2 linked regions of the Caenorhabditis elegans genome follow. The protein of the gene in region 2 purifies or fractionates together with the protein of the main gene of each other region. This does not show direct contact. Each region holds a gene or a part of one and is shown on either strand. Other genes may lie near its edges. The genes, in order: hsp-90 and ahsa-1.

Evidence for each region.
Region 1: the proteins of ahsa-1 (region 2) and hsp-90 fractionate together in Caenorhabditis elegans (co-fractionation; 3 studies listed by BioGRID, with this or other methods). This does not show direct contact.

What each region holds. Positions count from the first base shown.
Region 1 is NC_003283.11:14,683,962-14,689,117, reverse strand, and holds hsp-90 (Heat shock protein 90), read right to left. Parts: upstream 2,959-5,156; 5' UTR 2,955-2,958; coding exon 2,805-2,954; intron 2,758-2,804; coding exon 2,053-2,757; intron 2,005-2,052; coding exon 1,019-2,004; intron 961-1,018; coding exon 693-960; 3' UTR 579-692; downstream 1-578. Other genes in the region: C47E8.11 (uncharacterized protein), read right to left, coding at 198-359, 407-481; C47E8.4 (Protein FAM50 homolog), read left to right, coding at 3,641-3,749, 3,796-3,925, 3,979-4,078, 4,313-4,384, 4,434-4,504, 4,602-4,764, 4,959-5,156. UniProt on the Caenorhabditis elegans protein: Molecular chaperone that promotes the maturation, structural maintenance and proper regulation of specific target proteins involved for instance in cell cycle control and signal transduction. Undergoes a functional cycle that is linked to its ATPase activity.
Region 2 is NC_003283.11:15,083,389-15,087,304, forward strand, and holds ahsa-1 (Activator of Hsp90 ATPase AHSA1-like N-terminal domain-containing protein), read right to left. Parts: upstream 1,995-3,916; 5' UTR 1,986-1,994; coding exon 1,906-1,985; intron 1,857-1,905; coding exon 1,787-1,856; intron 1,739-1,786; coding exon 992-1,738; intron 942-991; coding exon 810-941; 3' UTR 671-809; downstream 1-670. Other genes in the region: C01G10.9 (Methylthioribose-1-phosphate isomerase), read left to right, coding at 1-215, 261-653; C01G10.7 (Citramalyl-CoA lyase, mitochondrial), read left to right, coding at 2,363-2,569, 2,616-2,720, 2,777-3,439; C01G10.15 (FIP (Fungus-Induced Protein) Related), read right to left, coding at 3,563-3,802, 3,846-3,908.

The sequences.
Region 1 (5,156 bases), 400 kb from region 2:
CGGAACACAGAAAGAGCTCAGTAAAGCTGCTTTCAATTTCTCAAGGGCAGTTGGAAAGAGTTGGCATGGTAACGGATGTCAATTTGAGCACGCATCAACAGATTTGCGTGCGCGGAAAGCGGATTTTTCAAGAGAATAAGCATATGTTCATAAAACGATTATCGAAAAATTTTTATTTTTAGAAATAAAATGAGAGATTAGACAGCAAGGTTTGGTGGGATTGGAACAATTTCATCTTCATCTTCTTCTTCCGGATTCCACCAACGAACATCCAACTTGCGTCCTTCGAAATCTTCATTGACAGGATCCCAGAGGTTATAATTGAAATTTGGACGTGGAGGTGGATTGAATGGCTTTTCCTGAAACATGAAAAGATATTAAACTCATCTCCAACTCATGTATAAACCGGTTCTGGAATGATGCAGCAAACAGCACTGGCCAAGATCAGGAAACATGCCAACTCGAATAAGATTGCAATCATGTTTCGTATAAACTAAAACTGTTTAATTTCCCTCGAGTATCTAAACTGTTCAAATGTGCTTCTTCAAAAGTTCACGTTTGCAAAAAAAAACATTGATGAAATTAATTACGGAACTTTATTTGGGTTCGATAGACAGGAAAACAATGAATAAAACTGTGGAGGGGCTTTTGGGGAGATCTTCTCGTAACAAATGATAAATTAAATAGGATGTTTAGTCGACCTCCTCCATGCGGGAAGCATCCTCCTCAGCTCCCTCAATCTTGGCCTCAGCGGTGCACGATGATGGAACAGCAGAATCTTCAATTTCGTCATCTCCGATATCGAGACCAAGCTTGATCATTCTGTAGATGCGGGAAGCGTGAGATTGTGGCTCCTCAAGGGAGAATCCGGAAGCGAGAAGAGCAGTCTCGAAAAGAAGAACAACCAAATCCTTAACGGTCTTGTCATTCTTATCGACCTCGACACGATCACGAAGTGTCCTGAAATAGCAAAAACGTTTGTGAATGTTCATTTTAAAATAGTTTTTGGGTAACTTACTTCATGATAGCGTGGTCTGGGTTGATTTCGAGATGCTTCTTGGCGGCCATGTATCCCATAGTAGAGGAATCACGAAGAGCTTGAGCTTTCATGATGCGCTCCATGTTAGCGGACCATCCGTACTCGGAAGTGACAATGCAGCATGGGGAAGAGACAAGACGGTTAGAAACTCCAACCTTCTCAACCTTCTTCTCCAAAATGTCCTTGATGACCTTGCAAAGGTTTTCGTAGGCAACCTTGTCCTCTTCGAACTTCTTCTTCTCCTCCTCGGTTTCTGGGAGCTCGAGTCCTTCCTTGGTGACGGAGACAAGCTTCTTTCCATCATACTCCTTGAGTTGTTGGACGCAGTACTCATCAATTGGGTCGCACATGTAGAGGACTTCGAATCCGCGGCTCTTAACACGCTCGACGAAAGCTGAAGCAGCAACAACATCCTTGGACTCTCCGGTGATGTAGTAGATTTGAGTTTGGTTCTCCTTCATGCGGGAAACGTATTCCTTGAGGGAAGTTGGCTCATCTCCAGCGGAGGTAGAGTAGCGAAGGAAATCGGAAAGCTTCTTGCGGTTAGTAGAGTCCTCGTGGATTCCGAGCTTGAGATTCTTTCCGAATTGCTCGTAGAACTTCTTGAAGTTGTCTTTGTCCTCGGCAACCTCGTCGATAAGCTCCATGCACTTCTTGACAAGATTCTTACGGATGACCTTCAAGATCTTGGATTGCTGGAGCATTTCACGAGAGATGTTAAGTGGAAGATCCTCAGAATCGACGACTCCCTTGATGAAGTTAAGGTATTCTGGCATGAGCTCTTCGCAGTTCTCCATGATGAAGACACGACGAACGTAGAGCTTGATGGAGTTCTTGCTCTTCTTGTTCTCGAAGAGATCAAATGGAGCTCTTTGTGGGACGAAGAGAAGAGCACGGAATTCAAGTTGTCCCTCAACGGAGAAATGCTTGACGGCAAGATGATCTTCCCAGTCATTGGACAAGCTCTGAAATTAATGGAATTATTGCCATAAAATAATTAAAACTAAAAATACCTTGTAGAACTCAGCATATTCTTCGTTGGAGATATCGTCTGGGTTTCTGGTCCAGATTGGCTTGGTCTTGTTAAGCTCTTCGTCTTCGAAGTACTTCTCCTTGATTTTCTTGGTCTTCTTCTTGTCAGCGTCGTCAGCGACGTTCTCGACCTCTCCCTCCTTCTTCTCCTCATCCTTAGCCTCGACAGCCTCCTCATCTTCAACCTCCTTCTCACGCTCCTTCTCAACCACAAGCTTGATTGGGTATCCGATGAACTGAGAATGCTTCTTAACGATCTCCTTGATCTTGCGCTCCTCGAGGAAGTCAATCTGATCCTCCTTGATGTGCATGACAATCTTCGTTCCACGGGTGACCTCTGGGTCATTGAATGGACGAACGACGAAAGAACCTCCTGCGGAAGACTCCCATTGATAGCTGTCATCATCGTTGTTCTTGGATGTGACGACAACCTTATCGGCGACAAGGAAAGCAGAGTAGAATCCGACTCCGAACTGACCAATCATGGAAATATCAGCTCCAGCTTGAAGAGCCTCCATGAAGGCCTTGGTTCCAGACTTGGCAATGGTTCCAAGGTTGTTGACAAGATCGGCCTTGGTCATTCCGATTCCGGTATCCATAATGGTAAGGGTCTTTTCCTCCTTGTTTGGAGTAATTTTGATGAACAATTCCTTTCCAGTGTCAAGCTCGGATGGCTCGGTGAGTGCCTAAAACCGATATTTTAAAAAATTGACTCAGAAGCGAAAAAACAAACCTGGTAGCGAATCTTGTCAAGAGCATCGGAGGCGTTTGAGATCAATTCACGCAAGTAGATTTCCTTGTTACTGTAGAAAGTGTTGATGATCAAGCTCATCAACTGAGCAATCTCAGCCTGGAATGCGAAGGTTTCGGCGTTCTCGGACATGGTTCTGGAAAAATATCAATTAACAATCGAGCAACAAAAACTGAATAGAACTTTATAACGATTCAATGAATGAAAGAGCACGCATGGCGAATGATTTCGAAACTAAAAACACATTATAACCTTATCTAGAAATGAACTAATTTTAGGCCTAAAACTATTGTTCAAAAACCTTTAAAAATCAAAAACAATGATCCGTGATTAACATAAAAGCCATATTAGTGAGAGGAAAACCAAAAATCTTCACCCGAAAACCGAAAGAACTGGGAATATCAGAGCTCTGAGGCGTAATTGAAGGTCTAAATTTTGAACAAGATGCGAAATGTTCTCGAAGGAGGGCGTGGCCTTTCAATTTGATTGGTTGGTTTTCAAATTGCCCTTTTCGGCGGAAAATTCTCGACGAAAATTGTCAATAGAGCGCGTTTTCAGCACCTGGCCGAAGTTTTGCAGAATAGGTAACTAGGCCACAAACATTTTCTTGTTTTTAGTTTGAATTGTTTTTTCTTCATTTTTTTCAGATTACTTCGTCGAAAAGACGTTTTTTTGGTATTTTTGCACCAAAAAAAAATCTAAAATTATTATTCTATATTAAATAAAATCCCGAAATAAACTATATGTCACTCTCAATATTGAACTCGTTGAAAAATATTGCTTTCATTGGTTTTTATTTTATTTTTGCAGTTAATAAAATGTCCCGCGCCGACGAAGGCCGCTTGATTCATTTGGCAAAGAAACGTGAGCGTGAAAAGGAAGATATCGAACAACAATTGCGAAAGCTTGAAGAAGACAAAGAAAAATGTATGGTGAAACCCCTTTTTAATTATTAAAACTACAAATTTTGCAGGCAGGGTCGGAATTACGAATAAATTCATGGCAAACTATGAAACAGTCGAAGAAGTCGTGAAGTCTAAAACCTATGGCTTGGTATCATTGGATGATATGAAAAATATTCAGAAAAACGAAATTTCAAACAGGTTCGATTTTCTACATTTTGGAGAGCCTCACAATAAAAATGTGTACCTTATAGAGATCTACAAGTGGCCCGGGGAGACCAATCATCTTCTACTCAATCTAAAGATTCACAAGAAGCTCGAGAAAAAGAAGAACACGTTGCAAAACATACCCAGGTAAATGTGAAGGATTGCTGTAGAAATTTGGTTGTAGGCTCTAGACTCGGGTAGCAGTTGTAGTTCAATTGACTAGAGATTTCTCGTCGAAAGAGTCTTTTATACCAGATTTCTAAAAATTTGAGAACTTTCGAGAAAGAAAAATTGAGGGCAGGTGAGAGTGTGAGGAAACGCAGATATAAAACATTTTTGTAGAACATTCGAGAAAAACTGTTTTAATATTGCTAATTTCAGAAGCGATTTTTATCGTTTGCATTTGATGACGAAGAGGACGAAGAAGATGCTGCACCAATTATCCCGAAAAAGGTAAGAATAATAATTAAAAAGAAAAAATTAAAGCGAAAAATGTTTGCAGCGCGTTGGAATGGACCCAACTGTCGACACAAGCTTCCTGCCTGATAAAGAACGAGAGGAGTTCTTGAGAAAGTGAGTTCTAGAAGAAAAAACAACGACATTTCAAATTTTGGCGGGTGTAGATCATCCCGGTGAACAAATAAATAAAAAATAATAAGTCTGGTTTCAGAAAGAAAGAATCATTGGCAGCCGAGTGGCGTGTGAAGCAAGATGCCGAGAAAAACGAGGAAATTACAGTTGCCTACGCCTATTGGGATGGATCTTCACATCGGAAAAATATGAAAATCAAGAAAGGAAACACGATTTCGCAATGTCTAGGAAGAGCCATTGAGGTAATAATGAACTTCAGAAAATAAAAAAAAAGTGTTCTATGTATTTATTTTTTTGGAAATTTTTTGAGAAGGCAATTTATGAAATTCGACCGTTTCGGGCAAAAACCCACAAACTTTACTTCCCCTCTAAAATATTTTTTAATTGTTTTTTTTTTTCAACAAATCAAAAAATATTTATAAATATTCATTTTCAGGCTCTGAAAAAGGAATTCACGGAGCTTAAATCGTGCACAGCCGAGAATCTGATGTTCGTCAAAGAGGATCTCATCATACCACATTTCTACACGTTCCAAGACTTTATAGTCACAAAAGCAATGGGAAAGACTGGTCCGCTGTTCGTGTTCGATTCGGCTTCCGATGTTCGTATACGCCAAGATGCTGCACTTGACTAT
Region 2 (3,916 bases):
TCTCGGCATTCCCTGACAAGGAGAAGCTTACGGTAATGACGATCTGCAACACAGGAAGCTTGGCTACAATATCCTGGGGTACTGCTCTCGGAGTCATTCGGGCTCTTCATTCTGAAAACCGTCTGAAATTGGTTTACGTTTTGGAGACGAGACCCTATAATCAAGGAATTAGGTTGACTTCCATAGAGCTTCTTCATGGTGAGGTGCCGTTCAAGGTAATGCTAAATACTGATTATCTTTTAAAAATCCAGATTTTCTAGCTGATCACTGATTCAATGGCAGCATGGGCAATGAAGAATCACCAGGTGGATTGTGTGCTCACCGGAGCCGATAATGTTGCAAGAAACGGCGATACGGCTAACAAAATCGGAACCTATATGCTTGCTGTCCTCTGCAAACATCACAACATCAACTTCTATCCGGTTGTTCCATTCACGACGATCAATAAGAATATTGCAACCGGGGAGGAGATTAAAATTGAAGAACGACCATCTGCAGAGATGCTTCGAGTAAATGGAGTTTTAATCGGAAATTCTGAATGTCCGGTTTGGAATCCAGCATTTGATGTCACGCCGGCGCATCTCATCACGAAAATTTTGACGGATTTCGGAAACTGGCCGCCTGAAATGCTCGAGCAGCAGATTCCTAAATAATTTTGTTTGTTTTTGAACAGAATCTGTTGAATTTATGAAAATATTATCACTAAATTTAGAACACAAACACAGATTGATATAAAATAAATAAATTGAGAAAGCGGTTTAGAAGATCGGAGAACATCAAAAACAGGAGATTTGCAATTTTTCATTTTTTCACATTCGCTGGCTGAATCCGAAAGTACGACCAATGCTTGAAAGGTAGTAACGATCGAGTCCTTGTTGAGTTTCTTCAGCGAGATGAGTTGGAACATCTTTAGCGATGATTTTGATATCCGTTCCAGATCCCTAGAATTTATTATAATAGAAGGTTTATCCTCGTTTGTTCTAAAACTTACAGTATCTTTCAACTGGAAATGGATGGTTGCATGATGATTGTTTGGATACTTTTTCAGTCGCCATTTCTTCACAATCTCCTTGTTCGGCTCAATCTTCTCGAATGTTCCAGTCACGTTTTCCCCGAACAATGCAAATGATCCTCCTTCCTTGAAATTCCACTCTCCGATCGAATTGTTTGTCCATCCACGAACGAATTGAGTCTCTGTGAGCGCCTCGAAAACTCTATCCGGTGTGGCCTTGTAGGTATCGGAAGTTGAAACCTCTTTGGTGGAGAACACTTCATTTCCAGAAGTGGAAGCGTCCTTTTCCGCGACAACAGTGTTTTGGAACTGACGTTTGTCAACGACTGAAGTCTTTCCAGTAGTAACGACTTGTGGCTTCACTTTATCAGTTGGCAGAATGAGACCCTTGCTGAATTCTTCCTTCAATTCACGGATATAGATTCCCATAACATCTTGAATCTTTGCAATGAACGATTTGTTAAGAACTTGGCGGATTTGATGAGCCATTGGGCCATTTCCACTCAATGACGAATTCACATCCACTTCGGATGCATCGTTCTCATCACTCAAGTTTGGGATATCGAAAGTTCCTTTATATTCGTCTTCACTGCCAGAAACACGAGCAATGAATGTTCCTTCGATAACCCATTCAAAAAGGAAGATGAGCTTAGCCTTCCGGTTGTTTGCCGTTGCTTCTCCGTCGATCTTTTTGATCTCATCGATTGTCACGACAATTGGGCCATCCTGAAAACGAATACTCTTAATACGATCTTGTTCAACTATTAATTATACCTCGGACGAAAATCCGGTGAGAAGTTCACGGAGTCGGTTCAAAGACCACGGGGTTGCATTCTTCTCCGACCTAAAACATACTTATTCAGCTCAAAGCTATGACTTCAATCGAGACCCACCAATGCCAATTGTTTACGTTTGTTGCATCGGCTCGTTCTTCAACAATCCAGCGTGGATCTCCTTCTCCCCACTTGGCCATTTAAATTCCCTGAAATTAATTTAAGTCAGTTTATCGAGATTTTTAAGGTGAACATCAAGCCAGATTAAGTCGTTTTGTACTTAAAACAATGGAATTTCAATTTAAAACTTGAAAATAAATATTTAACGTTGAAATCAAAACAAGAAATCTTTGAAATTTCGTTGAAAACAGGAGAAACTCAATTAATTTCGAGAAAATTCATGAAAAATGGAAGAAACTAGGCCAGCAGGCCACGACCGCTTATCAATAGGGCGAGCTTGCATTGCAATTTTTGTGTGGATTTACGCACGTAATTGGTTATTTATTTTTGTTTTTTTTTTTCAGATTTTACGTTACACATTTTTTTAAAATAAATTAATTTTTTCAATTTCAGAAAAATGCTTCCTAAAACGATAATTAGGCACATCTCACAGTTTGCCGGAGTTCGGGACGCAGCAAAGTATGTTCCAAGACGTGCACTTCTATACGTTCCAGCCAGCAATCAAAAAATGCTGGATAAAGTTCCAATGATGCAAGCGGATTCAGTAGTTTTGGAGCTAGAAGATGGCGTTGCTCTGACGGCTAAAGCTGATGCTAGAGTTCGAGTACGTGAAAAGTAATTGGAAATTTGTCTACAATTTGAGTTTTCAGGCTGCGGCGGCTCTTGATAAACTGCCATATCACACATTGGCATGCCAGGAGCTTGGTCTACGTGTCAATTCTGTAAGCAGTGGTCTTCTCGAAGATGATATCATTGTAAGATTTATTTTTGAATTTTTCAAACTTTATCCTCACGAATTTTTTAATTTCAGGCAGTATCGAAAGCTGAAAAGTTGCCACAAGCATTTATGATTCCGAAAGTAGACTGCCCTGAAGACCTTGTCACCATCTACAACATCTTCCGTGAACACTACGGAGATGAACGGATCACAAACACGAACACTCGGCTTGTTATCTGGATCGAATCTGCACGAGCTCTTCTGGATATGCCACGAATAGTCTCATCAACTCTAAATCTTCATAAACAAGCCGGATTCTTCAAGCTAGATGCAGTTGTCTTTGGATCAGACGATTTCTGTGCAGATATCGGAGCTACACGAAGCTCTCACGGCACTGAAACCCTATTCGCTCGACAGAAATTTGTGACTTGCTGTAAAGCATTCCAACTTCAAGCAATCGACAGTGTCTACATAGATATCAAGGATCTTGACGGTCTCCGTCGTCAGTCTGCAGAAGGGTGGCAGTGGGGTTTCACTGGAAAACAAGTCATTCATCCAAGTCAAGTGTCTGTGGTCCAGGAGCAATTTCTGCCTCCGAAGGATCGAATCGAATGGGCTCAGGAGCTGGTCCACGCTTACAGTGAGCACGAGGCATTAGGAAAAGGAGCTTTCCAGTTTAGAGGACAAATGATCGATCGACCACTTCTGCTGCAGGCATTGAATATTATTCAGCTCGTGGAGAGAGTTCAGAATTAAATTCTAAATTCTAAATGTTGTAAAACTTTTTATGTACATTTTTAAATATAGCTCTAGTTGCCAGTGTAATATAATAAAAACGAGTAATTTTAAAATTTCTTTATTTGTTCAAATTCAGACAAATCACTTCTTTCCATAAGTCAAGTAATAAGTAGTGTATCCATTGCTGTTGCTCGGGTAGTAGTAAGTGTATCCATTATTGTTACTGCAGCCGGAGCAACCATTATTGTATCCATTGTTATCGTAATAGTAATAAGTTTGACCATTATTGTTATTATTATTATTATTCGGGTAGTAGTAATAAGTCGTGTATCCGTTATTGTTATTGTTGTTGTAACCGTTGTTCGGGTAGTAATAGTAGAGCTGAAACAAAAAAATGGGAATCAGATAATCAATAGGAACTTACATAATAAGCGTTGGCAGTGGAGAAAAGCACGAGAAGAGTGGCGATCAGTGTAAGGAATCTCATTTTCTAGG